Drosophila melanogaster: one gene and its partner. The protein of the gene in region 1 purifies or fractionates together with the protein of each later gene. This does not show direct contact. Each region holds a gene or a part of one and is shown in the gene's direction. Other genes may lie near its edges.

The links.
Region 2: the proteins of kek5 (region 1) and kek2 purify together in Drosophila melanogaster (affinity purification with western blotting; one study listed by BioGRID). This does not show direct contact.

What each region holds. Positions count from the first base shown.
Region 1 is NC_004354.4:19,349,962-19,358,225, forward strand, and holds the start of kek5 (kekkon 5), read left to right. Parts: upstream 1-3,219; 5' UTR 3,220-3,692; intron 3,693-8,264.
Region 2 is NT_033779.5:11,578,218-11,586,164, forward strand, and holds the start of kek2 (kekkon 2), read left to right. Parts: upstream 1-3,719; 5' UTR 3,720-4,885; intron 4,886-7,215; exon of another isoform or gene 7,216-7,306; coding exon of another isoform or gene 7,307-7,947. Other genes in the region: Mst33A, read right to left, coding at 7,307-7,947.

The sequences.
Region 1 (8,264 bases):
ATTTAGCAGCAACTCCATAAACTTGAAAGCCATATCTTCAAATCGGTTTGAGGATGGTTTTATATATAGCCAACTTGCTTTTTAAGGAGAGCTTGATACTAGGAGACAGGAGCCACGATATTTTCGCAACTTTTGACAACATAGCCAAAGTATAGATAATCCCAAGATATTTTCCATACGACTTATGCTCCAGCACGGATCCAAGATGCGTATATATTCCAGGTCTGATCGAAAACATAAACTTTGCTCATTTGCTACTGTTTATTCCTGTTTGTTCCAATCCTGCGTCAATTTTTCAAAGCAACAAACATACTCCTGTGGAAAGGGGTTTCTGACTAGAACTGCGGCATCATCAGCGGATGTTGCAATGAGAACGTCATCAGTGTCCACAGTTTGGACTGAAAAGCTTGACTCTCAGATGAATGCAAATACATAAATATTGTAGGTTATAAGTTACACCTTTCAATTATATATTTTAATTATATTACCCAAAACTTAAAATTTATCAAGCCAATTGGGCATCCTTCTTGGGAATATAAGCTGGGTAATAAAGCCTGGGCAATGGCTCCCGATAGACATGTCCAGTGGATGGATGGACCCAGTTCAAATCCATATTCGCCAGGTACACGTACTCCTGCCGAGAAATGCGCACTTGGCAGTGCTCTCCAGATAGATCCGCAAACTCCTCAGCCGCATAGTTGTCCAAATCGATCTCGTACAACTTTTCCAAGCAAGGAAGATGATGATGGTGATAGTGACCGAAGTCGACCGAAATGGGGAAACCTGCATCCAACTAGCACATCCAACTGCAGGGCCAGCTGGAAATGGTGATGAGCCTGGCTACTTTAGTCACCAGTCACTTTAGTTGGCTCCTCCTCCGTCGCCTGCAACGCCACCTGGCTGATGGTGCGCTTCAAGGAGTCCTCCGTTTGGGTTCATCGGAGTCGCCATTAAGAGCAACTTATTGTTAAAGTTCATGTTCATTAATCAATCTAAAATCTAAAGCTAGCTCACCAACTCAACTGAGTCAGCTGCTCCTTCAGCAAGATGTTCATATTTTCATATGGTTTTAGTTCTTCATTTACAGATACAGATACAGAATAGAAGATACAGAATAGAAGATTCCACATCATTGGTGTCAATGTCTTTTTCCTTTTGGAGGAAATATTCATTGAATATTCTCTAAAACTATATAAGTTATTATGCCTGAATAGAGTCGATCTTTAAATAAAAGCAAAAAACAAAACAATTTTAAACATTTAACCAACTAAAATAGAGAAAACGTAAAATATTGTAAGTGGAGTGTGTTATTCTTGTGTTTTATATGTTCGCAGTTGTTGAAATGTTTACTCACCAAATGAAAATATATGTAAGTCCTAGATAGGAAGGATATAAAAGAATATTAAATAAAACGAACATAGAAGATGGTTACCTTGTTCTCATGAAATGTGTGTTCTATTTTTATGATCCTAGCTTGATTTGGTGCTTATGTGCCCAGTTTATAGCATAATTTGTCATAATTAATTTGGCGTCCATCTGTGTTTAGTCTACTGTACATTTCAAAATGCTGCAATACCAATTGTAACCTATCATGATCGAGCAGCATTTCATTTAGTTTCTGCATTTCAAATCAAAAAAATATACATCTTTTATTTTAAAACTTACACAATCAATTGGCGAAAAAATCGATTGCTCGCCAACACTTCTATTTCCCTATAACAAAAGATGCGTTTTTTAAATAAATAAAAAAACCAGTATTTTTTCTGTAAAAGATTTACTTTGCTTGTTTAAATTTTTTTAATTAGAAATCAAATTAACCAAATTTAAAATTAGGGTGTCCATAATTAGTTGTCGACTTTTACATTTCAAAACATTTTCAAGAAGTGTAGGCGTGGCAGATTTGAGCGATTTGTGGGCGTTAAAGTGGAGGTGCCAACATTACTTGACAACTAACTTGCGCTGCGTATGCCTCTTAAATCTTCAGGTCTAATAAAAAATTAGCTTCACTTTCTGGTATCTCTTATAAATAAATAGGAAATAAAGCTATATTAATATTAAGGCATAATAACAAACATCGAAAACTTCCAAAATTAAGCAATTTAAAGTATCTTTCATTGAAATGTAGTAATAATGCCATTGCTCTTATGCTATTATCAATGTGTACTGGTTTCCCATGATACCTTACTATTTAATTTTATGTAAAGGGAACCTTACATATTTATGTATTGGATTGGAATTGCCACTCGTTTCTCGCAGTGTATCTGGCTGGCTCCACACATGGGCGCGTGTATGCTCTCCCCTTACTGACGTACTTAATTCTTCGCAGTTATTCAGGGGCACAGAGAACGCTTCACTTTCCTTCTTTTTTCGCCGGTGACGTAATTAATGATGCTAGCCGCTGAAATTTTAAAATGAATTGCACTACCAAGCAGCAGCTCCTTTCCATTTTGTTCGACGATCAGAGGTCTTAAAATCAAACTTCTGTCAACTGGCTGATGAATTCATTCAGTTTCTAACGTTCGCGATGGAGCTGAAATTCTTATTTTGTGTTCAACTGATTTTTTGAATACATATGTATATATTTTGTACTGAGCTCTGTTCTTGAGAAGGGAGAATCTATAGTCGAGTATATCGGTTACTTGGCTAATGGAAATGCGAACGCGAAATTTTAACATTTTTCTTAGGTAGATATTATTGGGGAATGAAATAAGAAACTATTTAAAAATTGCTTGGGTAGTTTTTGGCGGCTTGTGAGCGTTAGAGTGGGCGTGGCAAAATGGGTCAACAAACTGGCTCTGCGTCTATGTTTATGTATAGAACATGTATGCTTAATCTCAACATCCTAGCTGTACAATAAGACAAAAAAAAAAAAACACATTTCATTGGCATCAGAATCGTTAAGGGTAAAATTGTCACGACTTTCGTACCATGGTTTTGTTTGATTTGATTATGGTGATAACTAAAATTATTTTTTTTTATTGAAAAAAAATTATTGATTTTAATTTTTTTTGTTTTTGTATACATTCATTAAGTGAAAAATCGCCGTAAATTTGATTTTATAATTCGTTACACACGTTTTGTTTCAGTGCTTTGTTGCTGTTGCAACCCCTCAGCTGACGTTCCAGTCGAACATGTTGCATGACGGCTCGGCTTAGTTCGGTTCGGTTCGCTGCGACTCGGTTCGATGCGGCTCGAGCGGCCTGCTCTCGAACAGATGTGCGTCGCAGTGTTGTTGCAAACGCCGGTCGCGTAGGTTGTTGCTAGAGTGAAACGTCGAGCGCATCGCCCACCCACATACACATATGTACGTACTCGAGTGCGCGAAGCAGTCAGTTGTTGCCGCCAATTGAATGGACAGTCGCGGTTAACGAAACACGAAAAGTCGTCTCGACTCGCCTCGCGTCGCGTGGAGTTCACTTGAGTTGAGTGGCGGCTAGTGTGTGTGTGTTTGCTTTTTTTTTCGAACGCCGCCAAACACGCGGCTGTTGCGGCTGTCCCGGAGTGCATTACTCACACTTTTTTTTCGGTTACTTGCAAGTGATACCCCTTAAACGAAAACAACAACAAGCCCCCCCCACCCACACACCACTTCAACCCCCTCACAAGCAGCTAAAGCCAAAAGGTGATTATATTTGGAAAAGTCACGCCGTGGAGTAAATAACGGAGCGGAGAGCGGATCAACACAAAGCGTGGTAAAGAGAGTGGAGAGATAAAGAGTTAAAATAAGTGCATAGAGTGCGAGTGGGAGAGATAGAGCGAGCGAGCGGGAGGGAGAGTGTAAGTGCTGCCCGTGTGTGAGAGTGTGTGTGTCTGTCTTCATGTACGTATGTGGCTTCTTTCAATGGTAGTCGTGTGTACCCGTTGAACCGGTTCAACACTCATCTTCGACTTACCTGCAAAACAACAGAAGCAGCAATGATAACAACAACAACAACGACAACAGCAGCGACTGCAGCGTGGTTTGTGCTTGGAAAAACATGAAAAACTGAAACTGAAGCAAAATGCAGCATCGCCAGAAGCAGCAGCAACAACAAAACGAGAACAACAACGTGCAGCTGCAGCAATTGTAATGTCAAATGAATCAAACAAACTGCATCATTTGCGTTTCCGAAGGCAGGAAAATAAGGGAAAGGCAAAGAAATGAAGAAAACATACATATTACATATGTATATATAAACATATATATTTAGGTATATATGTACGTATGTACGTAAAGTGCAGTCTGCAGTTTAAAAGCCATTAACCCCCAAAAACTGAAGTAACGAACCATCCGCACGGAGATCGCTGTTTTCCCCACTGAACTAACTTAATTCGTTTAGCCAGAATACACTGATCCCGTTGCAAATTGGTGGCTAATATGCAATATGATATTTAATTTGCAACCATATATTCTGCATATTTCACGCGTGTGTGCGTGAGCGCTGTAGGGTTAATACGAGAGCGCTCACTACCTGCGCGCCCTGCCAAGGGTTAAGCACTCAGGCAAGAAGTTTCGCGTGTAATTGACGTTGCCAAAAATTAAGAAAGAAAGAAAAACAAACAAACAAACGCAGAACAAAACAAAACAAAACAAACCAGTAAGGGAAGAACAAAAGCACGAACAGAAATTAGAAGACAGCGAACAGAAGAGAAACTTAACTTTTTCTCTGTTCTTATTTCAGGTTATATACCCTTGCAGATGGCACATTAAATTCGGTATATCGGAATATCATGATCAGTATTTAGAGTCTAATTAACGGTCCACCTGTCCGTTTGTCTGTCCATTTCCATAAAAAAAAGTCTCAGTTTTATAGCTATTGCATCATGTACATAGCTGTCATAGGAAAAATAAGAAAATTAACTGAAAGTGATAAAATAATCATCGGTTCTTAATCATGAAGTATTGCTCGGTATACAGGTGTTTTGTATTATTACTGCAAGGGTATGTAAGTTTCGGCTTACTTTCTTGTTCGCTTTTTTGTGTGTTTGTCCATGCAGTACAGTTAGCCGCCAGTGGTACTGTCGAAGTGTGCGTGTGTTTCTGCGGGTGCTATTACCTTGGTATTATTGGTAGGTATGTAGGTGCGTGTGTGTGTGTGTGTGTGTGTGAGTTGGTGTTTTTGGCGGAGCACTTTTTGTTTTCATGAATTTATCCTTGGGACGAATAAGAACTGCAGGCGAAAGGAGCGAAAATGTAGCAGGAGGACAGGGGAAATCGGGAAAGCTAAAAACAAACAAAGGGATTAGCAAAGATGCGAATATTGCGGCCCAGAAATTAAGACCACAAGAAAAAGTGCCAATAAGAGTTGTTGGGAAACAATTGGAGGATATACCCACGCCCAAACATTTTTGATGTGTATGCAGTGTATGCATTCGCTTTGAGGAATGCTTCATCTGGTTTCATCAATCTTTTGACGGAAATGGAGTTTATACATATGTATACTATCCTAGAAATGCTATAAATTAAAATAGTGCGCGTTATTTACGGAAAATATAAAATCTGTAGTCAAAATTTATGTTTACTACCCTAAATTTTTATGGGTATTAAATGGTATAATATGATTATGGATCTAATTTTGGGGCGCCTTTTTACTACAAGCCAAATTAAATATGACAGAAATGGAATTTTTCGATTTAGGGATGCGTACGACTATTATGATTTCCTCATGACGAAAATAGATTTTCCACTTCAAAAGACAAATATTCCCTACTCTTTCTACTGAGTAACATAGAAAAGCGGTGCAGAAATCTACACTTAATTTTTGTCTCACAAAACACTTGGATCAAACAGAAACAACAAATTTGGTACCCATACAATATGTACAGTTGCCACAAAAACGATCAAGACCAATTAGAAATGTGTATGTATGTATTTGATTGAAAGCAATTATTAAACAAAATTCACTTAAGTATTGTTTTTTTTTTTATTTTCTACATGAACCATTAATCGAAATGATACTAAAAGGAACATGTGAGACATTTATAAACAAGCACTTGAAGCCATATGTACATACATACATAGCATAGATTAGTCGTCAATCTTATAGATAAAATGTTGTAAAAAACGTTCTGCAATAAATAAGATTTACAATTAAAAACCAAATAAGCACATGAAAGGGATTTTCTTTTCTATGGCTTTGAACATCTCACATCTGTAATATTACATTCAACCCAAGTAAGTGTAATTAAAGATTATCCAAGGAAAGCCTGAATAAGGATTTTAGAAAAATCATAAATAACGTTAAGCAAAAAGTACTTGAAGAGATTTACCTTCAATTTGTTGACAAGACGAGACGAGACGAAGTTTTCAGTGCGATTTGCGTCTGGCTTAAGCTGAATTTTTTGGCTGTATGCCTGTGGCAATTTTGTGGTTGGACTGTCAGTCAGTCGACTGCAGAAGCGACGAATTCGAAGTTCATTAAAACTACCTCAACATTTTAAAGTACAATTGGCTTGGGGGAACTGGTAAGCTTTTGATAGAGCTCGATTTTTTTTTTCTTTTATCAAGACAATGACCCGAATGCCGGAGTCGGAAATTGTTTAAACATCGCACGCTTGTAATTGTCACCGCATTTTTTCCACCGACGGCACTCGAAAAAGACGTTATCTAAATATTCGTAAACAACACAGGGAAAATAACAACAGCAAACGAAAATTATCAAACGAGTAGAGGGTACACTTGAGGTCATTGATTTGAAATTGGAATTGGTCGTATGTCAACTTGGGATATGGGAAGTCACCAAACAAAAAAGTGGTGATAAACGATGCATCAGCAGTCTTGTGGCATGTGTACATACATAGATGCGAACCAAGGCATTTCACACACACATTTCACACATAAGCTCCCAATGTTGAGCTGAATATCGAAAACGTTTTCGACTTTACTGGACTTGAGGCCAAGTCACTGTGTTCCACTGCAGAAGATGGATAACACCACCCAACCACCACCAAGTGCTCCTCGTAAAATGCCTGAGGGTTTCCCAGCGCAATGACAAAGAGTCTTGGAATGGCCATAACGGGATGCTTTCAAATTATCATTGGAGTCTATCGAACTCTACTATTGGTATTTTATTTTTGTATTTGTTTCATATTGGTGTTCTTGAAAGCTCAAAGAAGCTGGGGTCGGAAAAATCGAATTTTTGAAATTTGAAAGCTGGAATCGTTTGCCCATTTTTTGCCCATGTTTGCCCACCAATTAGTTTTTTTTGCCCACGTCCAGTTTTTGAGATATGAATTTTCGAAAAAGTTCGAAAATTTTCGAAAATCAAAAATTTCGCTTTTTTCAAAATTTTTTTTTTTAAATCGCAATAACATCGTTTGCCCACGTTTGCCCACCCTTTAGAATTTTGAAAAAATGTATACTTTAGAAAATATAAGGCTTTTAAGTTTACCTCGGTCTAATCAGAGAGTAAATCGTTTGCCCATCTCTTAAAACCAAATATTATCAACAAAAAAGGTTTGCCCAACCATTATTATTAGTTTTTTTCGTTTGCCCACTCTTAAAACTAAATAATTTCGATTGCCCACCTTTTAAAACTAAATAATTTCGTTTGCCCATCCTAAAATCTTAAGAATAAATAAATTCTATTGCCCACCATATAAACACGTGCCACTTTCCTAGTTTTAGGATCTGCCTACATAACACGTGCAGACGCACAGGTGTTTCTGGGTTTATATAGACCAAAAATTGGTTCCGATTGCCAATCTTGTAATTTACAGTTTACAAAGGGTGGGCAAACGAAATAATTTATTTTTAAAGGGTGGGCAAACGTTAAAAATGAATTTTAAAGGATGGGCAAACGAAATTATTTAGTTTTAAAAGGTGGGCAATCGAAATTATTTAGTTTTAAGAGTGGGCAAACGAAAAAAACAAATTTTAAAGGGTGGGCAAACGAAATAATTTATTTTTAAAGGGTGGGCAAACGTTAAAAATGAATTTTGAAGGATGGGCAAACGAAATTATTTAGTTTTAAATGGTGGGCAAACGTTTTTTTTGGAAATTTTTATTTTAAAGAGGTGGGCTAACGAAATTGGGTGTATTTTAAATGTGGGCAATCGAAAAAAAATTTTTGTTAAAGGTTTTTTAAAGGGTGGGCAAACGATAAAAACTAATAATAATGGTTGGGCAAACCTTTTTTGTTGATAATATTTGGTTTTAAGAGATGGGCAAACGATTTACTCTCTGATTAGACCGAGGTAAACTTAAAAGCCTTATATTTTCTAAAGTATACATTTTTTCAAAATTCTAAAGGGTGGGCAAACGTGGGCAAACGATGTTATTGCGA
Region 2 (7,947 bases), on another chromosome or scaffold:
TGTAGATTTCCAGGAAATTGTGGGGCGTAAAATATTTTGCACAAAAGTTGTACAACAATAGCATTAACAAGGCGAACAGAAGTGAAACAGAAAAGCTGGAGCGTGTTGGCAAATATTTGAACAAATATTTGGAGTGCATCGAACGCTCGAATGCGTCGAAAACAATCGCCAACTATTTCCCATATCCGTTTCCCTGTCTGTTTATTTTTTATTTTATAATTTTTTCAATTTACTCCGCTCTATTTTAGAGGTATGCCAACACTTTTCATTAGCTTTAAGGTCAACTATTTGGAGTCTTAACTAGAGGAGGTCATAATTACAGACCGCCGTCCAACTTGATGGCCCACAACGCCCACAAAGGTCGGCGGTACTTGGCTGAAACTCAAAGGAGCTGTCGGCTTTGTCAACTTCCTTGACAGTGCGGCCACGTGCGACACGCTCTAGGCGGAAATTAAAATTCTGGCTACGTTTCAAAGGCAACGGCAACAAAAGCAAAGACAAAGGCAGAGAGCAAAGGGCATCTAATAAACTTTCGCGCTCAGGCTATGAATTTTCGTAAGCCAAGTTGCCTTCTCGATTCCTCGAGTCCTCCATTTTCCACCAACATTGAGGCACGCGCTCATCGGTCTAGACACAAATCAAAGAACTACGTCTCGCACACCAATCAATGTTCGTCCTTCGCCGAGTGAGTACTGTAGAAAGCTCGTAGGACTGCCTCAAAATTGCATGGCCAAACTTTGAGGCTTGTATTAACGGGTTGTTATGTCATCTAATATAGTGTTATCATTTTTAGATTTAAGTCTATAATCATATATTCAATATGTCGCTAAAACTTTGAGTACCTGGATCTAGATTTGTGGGAATACAATAATACTACCGTCGCTAGTTGGACCCACTTCTGTGTAGTTTGGGAATCAGTCGCTTCTTCTTAATCTTCTAAAACTATACGAAACGTTTATCAATGGACTTGTTTAGCTGATGAAAAGTATCAGGTTACTGTAGTGCTTACAAAATAAGTAAAGCTAATCGGAAATGACTTCTCAAACGGCTATATCCATTTGTTGAAGTGCAAACTCTAGAAGGGATTGCTTTGCATGCAGCTGCTGCCACTTCTACAATTAAGCCAATGAAAGTTCGTTTATTGACCGAACCTGAGCTGGGGACAATTGTAACAGTTTATCCAAGTAAATAAACGGCTAAGAGCGGGTTAATGAACGGCCAACAGCGAGGGGTAAATGCAATTCAGTTCGCAGTTGGATTATTTATTTGCTCTTTGCCGGGTATTTAATGGAATAATATTGTTAAAAAGCTGCCGGCAAAAGAGCTTTGAAATATTTAATTAATTTTTAAAGCTGTACATTTAAGTTAGATGGTTTACGAAAAAAGAGAAAAAAAATAACTTTTTTGAACTTTTGATGATGATCTTTTTACTTATCAGGGAACAACTTGTTTTTAAATTTAATGATACTTAAAAACCCCGATAGCCCCGACTTTATAAATGAATTTAAAGAAATATCGTTCGATTTATTAAGGTGATTCACATAAGGATAACTTACTTCCACTTTCGGCGTTGACAGTGCAAGTAACGCATTTCACTACCCCTATCCTTTCGTCCTTCGTTCTATCTGTAAAACAAAGGAGCTTTTAACATGTCGGCCTGCCAAAGAGCAAATGTGTGGGTAAGTATGTGCGGGTGATTCGAAGTAACCTTTGGCCGATTAAACATAAATCCCTATAAAGCAACAAAGTAAAAATTGCCAACGAGCCAAGTAAAAACTTTGGCAAAGTGCTCAACATCTTGGAGCTTCGCTGCTTCCGCGCTTTCCACGCTCGATGGCAAGGACGTTCAGCTGGCTGTTGGGTGGCGATGATGGGTGACGATGGTGGGTGTCGGCAGGGCGGAGGCCTTTGAAGCCCTGTTAATGCAAAGACGGCGGGGCCAAAGGGGCGCCTGAGTAATTTATATGCCAGGCACAAGATCATCGCTGTTAGGGCATTAAAAACTTAAATAGTTTTAATGCGACACAAACTATGCGCGAGTGGAGCCGAGAACACGGCGAACAAGCCGCACCACTCCGCGCCCAAGGTGCGTATACTTAACGCAGCCTTAATTATTGTACTTCCCGACAAAGGAGAATTTTCGCGGAGGAGGACAAAGATTGTAAGCCAACATTCATAATGTGCAATGGCTCGTTTACTCGGCAAGACGACAATCTTGTCTCCTTGATGCCGGGCCAATGTAAATTTAAATAAAAATGCAGATGAAATCGGAGATACAAACTTAGCTACAAGCTGCCTACGGAATTGATTTGAATGACCAAGGAGGAGCACGCAAAGCAGAGAAAGCCCCGAAGAATAACAATAAACATTTCTATCTGCTTCATTGGTTATTTACTCATTTCGATAGAAGGAGAGGCATCAAACAAGAAAAACAGCGTAAAACGAAAAATTCCCATCTCTGGTTTTATTTCTATTTTTTTTCCAGTTTTGAAATCGCGAAAAGGACTTCGCTTGATGGCATCGAAACTAAAGCAGCCAAATAAGCAACCGCAGGGCAGGGTCTGCTGATTTTCTTCTGTTTTTTCCTTTTTCATACATATATATATATATTTTGTCGAAGACAGAAGCTGCTTATAAAGCAATATACAATTCGGGCAGCCAGGCAACAACAATCGAACCGAATCGATATTTTTCGCTGCTGGCTTTCGCCAACCGCCCACTTCTATATTTTACCCCAAGACTTCTTCTTGGCTTCGGTTCTGGCCAAAATGGATTTTCGGCACCTCCGCAGGGACCCGCTTCGCTCGGTGTCACGGGTATTTGGGCGGGGCTGTGTGTGGGCGGTGGGGAAATGCACTGGCAACTGAAGCCTCCGATTCCGGCCACATATCCCGCCGGCTGAGGACTTCAGCTTGGGAGTTTTCACGCCAGAGTCCGTGGTGAAGTTTTTCCACCCGCTCGGTCAGTCAGCTGCTAGTGTTGAGGTTGGCTTTTCAGGCTGTGCGCTTTGAATTTCCAGAGTGGCGCCGACTCCCTTAACGAGTGCTCTGTTATAACAACTGTGATACTAGGAGAGCATCCCATAGGGGGAAATTATCTGGGAACAGTTTGTATGATTGCTCTTATACTGAAAAGGGCCGGATATAAAATAGAACGGAATAGTGTTCACCAAGAAAGCGGGCAAGGAGATCACAAACAATAACAATAATAAAGATTTATAACTTAAAAATGTTGCCCAGGCATGTATATGTTTAAACAACATATTTTATTTAAATATATTTTATTATTGCATTTTCTTTAATCTCTTCATAACTACTGTATTCTGGTTGCTTCCGTTCAATACGAATATTTCCATTTTATATGTTATATCTATTTTATATGAATTTCTGAATTGTAGGTAAATTTTTATCAAGTTGTATTTAGTATTTATGTTACTTAAGTTGTCATATCAATTGTTAATAGTATGCAATTGACAAGTCCCGTTGATTTGGTTTTTAATAGGCATATAAATCACATTGAAAATATAAATAAGGTAGCTGAGAGACCGGTGAAAGTGGTGGGCGACTTTCCCTTGCGGCTCTTTCTCTTCTACACAATCTCTCGCTCTCTCGGGAGAGAGCGTGTATAACAGTTTGTTTGCCGAGTGAAAAACGAGGCACGAGGACGCTGCCGAGAGAGGAGGCCGAACTCCGCTTGGTTTCCACTTGGCGGAGGCGTCTGCCTGCCTGGAAATCCGTCGAGCGTTGCGGGCGCAGCAGTTGAAAAGCGTACGCCGTGAGCGACAGACACGCCGCAGTCGATCCGTTCGAGTCCGTTCCGCTCCGTTATTTTCGCTCCGAACCGGACGGATCCGTAAACCCGCCCGTGGAGCACTCCGCCGGAATTAGAGCTGCCAAGAGCCAAAGGTCCTGACCAGGTGGTCAACTAATCCGTAGTTAACTCAACTAAACCCGCAGTTAGCTCCTTGGTGCCTGGGTTTCCCTGTTTCTGTGCGTGTGTGTGTGTGTCTGTGTACAGTGGCAAGTGGAAAGAGGCAAGAGTTTGGGAGGGGGCAGCAGTACGTGTCGCCATAAGAATTTTCCGAGTGCGCCGGGTAACGCGAGACGGGAAATTCGGAAAACAACCTGAAATCCATTTGCCGCAATTTGAGAAGCCAGCGACAACAACATGTGTAAACGCTAACGAGCGCGAAAACGCGAACATTTTGATTGATTTTTGATTGACATGCCACTCAGCGCATGCCACCCACCTCGAAAAGTGACAAGAGAAAAATAACAGAGGGGGCAAAGATAAAATAAAACAAACAACAAACTTGAGGAGCACTCGCTGCAACATGTATTCACTACAAAATCAAACAAAATATTGAAACGTTGTAAGCGATTTCGGGTCTAAAAAATAATTGCCTCAAGGGCTGTCAGCGAAAGTGCCAGCGCAAACAGCAAAAAATACATATATATATTCCACAAACAAAATGCAATCAAATCAAGGCCCATAAAAACCGAACAAGGAAAAACCAAGTTGGGCAAAAAATCAAACAAAGTAATAATAAAAATCCACAGCATCAGGCGGCTAATCAACTGCCATATACATATAAAAAAAAAACGCTGAGTTTGGCAACTGTTTTTCTGGCTTCTCGGTTGGATTTCCTACTCCTTTGCTGTGTCAGTGTAGTGGTGTATTTTATTTGTATATGTATGTTTCATGTATATTTGTGCCTGGCTATGAAAAAAGGATAAAATATGCCGACATTGATTTTCTCCTGCGACAACAACAGCACCACCACCGTCAACATCATCGGCTAAACAACAAAAGCAACATCCTTAATAAGAATCGAGGCGAAAAAGTTGCAGGATTCGACGAGGGCAAAGTTTTTCGGACATTTTCGGTATGTTGTTTCTAATTTCTGCACTGTTTTAGTTATTCCGCTTGTTGTACATATAACTCAACAATATTGCTGTCAAAGTTCTGACAGTTTGAACTTTTTATATGCTCGAACTCCTCCTCATCTTAACCCGCATTACGATTTTGGGGTCGAAGGAGCCAAATTCGATATTTGTTATGCGCAAAGTTGCTTGTATAATTCAGTTAAATGCTTGTAAATAAACAAAAGTGTTCGATTTAAAAGAGTTGGCCACGAGAAGTTGGGCATTGTGAGGATTGGCTTCATTGGGGGATTGGCAATGAAGTTCACCAGGAGTTTGGACTTATAAAAGAGTTCCAACAACTTTGGACAGGAGCTCCAAATAATTGAATGGCCAGTATTTGTTTGCAGATACAACCCTTTTGGGAAGTAACCTTCGGCTCTTGTCATTAATTTGTTCAACATTCAATTAAGCTCGTGTAAATTACGGTTGTCAAATGGCTTGCGAACCAGATAAAGCCCCTTTGATAAGGTCATTTAATTACCAAACACACAAAGTACCCTGAAGAAAAACTTGCTGATATTTATTTGAAATGTTTGTGCTGTGGCTTTGGTAAATTTCAAAAAAAGGAAAGGTGCACGAACCACAACAAAGGAACTCGCCATGCCCCCATTTCTAACCTCCCCATCTGCTCGAAATTGGAACCTTTTTTGTGGCAATCGGGGGGTTAAACTGCAAGTATTTCGAAGCAAGTATTTTCGAAAGACGTGTGTTTGTCTCGAAATGAAATGGAATCGAGCAAATGCCGAAGGCAGTGCCTTTTCAACGCTGACGGCGTGCAAATGAGAAAATTCATTATTTAACATTAATTAGGGCTTATTATGCACATTATCAACACAGTGAAGCGAACACGCACACACGTATGCTAACCGCATTAAATGTCAGTCAAAGACTCGACTAAGTAAACACAAGCGTATGTAACTTTACTGTGTGTGTGATTCTGTGGACAACTATCAACCACACCAAGCCACACACACACACACAAATACAGGCTCACGGGCTCACAGCACAGGTGAAAGTTTTACTTTCCACTGAGCCCCCCACACCGAAACCCCCAAAAGGAAAGTCAGGTTCATAACTCAACGCCCATCAGTGGAAAGTGGAGGGGGATGCGCGGTGGGGGTGGCCAGCAAGGAGCAAACAGGAAGCGAAGCGGCAACGAAAAAATACAGGCAACTTATGGAAAATTTCCTGGCTTCAGCTAGACTAAATGCTACCCAGCTATTCCACTTTCCAGTAAAAGTAAAATTAAATTAAACTGTGCGTTTGAGGGAAAATGGTCTTATTTAAAATGTTTTTATTTTAATTGTTTTCATTTTAAATTTTTATATAAATCTGTTCAAATATTTTAAAAATTCTAAACCAATTTGTGCGCCCAAGTTTTTGTGCATCTATAAACTCCACTGCACGCTGACTTCCTGGCCCAATATGCCCAACACGATAGCTTTCACCATCCGCTGGGCGGAAGGTAGGGGGGGAGTGTAAATTATTCAGTAAATTGTTAAGTAAATAACACGAAGGGCGCACGTTAAAAAGCAACCGAAAGACAACAATAACAGCAGCCAGAACACAACAACGTGCACAGACATCAACACCGTCCAACTCCGACCCAACCTTGTCCTTGCGTCTAGGGCCGCCGTGGAAATTTACCTCTCATATATGGATATGGCGGTGGTGATAATGTTGGTGATTCCGGGTCTGATGATAATGATGATGATGATGTTCAGCAACTGAAGCCAAGGCGAATGATGACACGCCGAACAGTTCACGGCTCAGCGGAATTGCCGGCAGCAAATGTACAATAAAATAAACACCAAATGTGGAAAGCTAGCCCCGGGCTCTTCGAACGAAACGGAACGAAAACAAAGCCGGAAACGGAAGCAGCTATGAGAGTTCAGGGGGCTGGAACGACTCTGAACGCACTCTGAACCGAGTAAACAATGGCGAGAAATTTGTTAGCCCAGGAGCAGGAACCAATGCAGGAAAGTCGAGTGTAGACAAAGGCCCCATCGACTCATCTCGGTGTCCGTCCAGTCCACCCACAAATCGGCGATGATTGTGGCGGGTTGAGAGGAGATGGCAGTGGCAGAGCTACAAGTTGCACAAACAGATGAATAATTCCGTATAGGGAGAATTAAAACTTCAACCCGTTTCGACTGACTTAAGAAATACATTTAGGACAAATGCCACACCAAGCTTAGTGAAATTCGTGAAAAAAACTGAATCAAAATCAATTTAAGGGATTTCACGATTTGCGGTTTTGTAAACCGTAATAAAAATAACTTTCGAATTTCCTTCGCCTTTGACCTTGGTGTTTAATTGCGTGCTTACAATGCTTTTTATAGTTATGCAAATGTTTTGTACAATATTTGTAAAAGAAATAGTTATTTAAATATACTCTTGACTGTTCCAAGTGCTTTAGCAATGTATCCAAATTTGAACCAGGAGCCGTTTGCCTCCTCTAGGGAATTTGTACTTCCATTCCAAACTTCTAGCTGGCCATCTCGCTGAATATTGAAATTAGTTTCCGAAAAATCACTTTCTGAAATCTGGGTGAACTGTGAGGTTTTACGCTTCTTTTCGCGCTTGGGAGCGTCAACTCTGGATACTTTGGTGTTCTGGCGCCTTGGTCTGCTCACATTCCGATAGAGATCCCTTTCGGCAGGAGTCATTTTACGCCATAATGAGGCCTTTTCCACAATCATCAGACCGGGATTGGCTTGACCGGTTTTTCGCAGAAAGTTTTTGTAAGCCGAACCACTATAAATTATATTCTTTTTGCCAGCATTTTTGGCTGATTTTCTGGGAGTCACCAGAACTCGTGGTTTTGGTTTTAAACGCTTAATTGTCTTACGTATTTTTGGGGACGAGATCTTCTTCGCATACTTTTCAGATTTCATGGACGTACTGGCTTCATTAAATGCATTCTGTATTTTGGTTGTAATTGGATATACCGGATGCAGTGTAGCTGCATTTAAAATTTCGTCACGATTATGCACTTGATCACATAATTTTAGAACGTAGT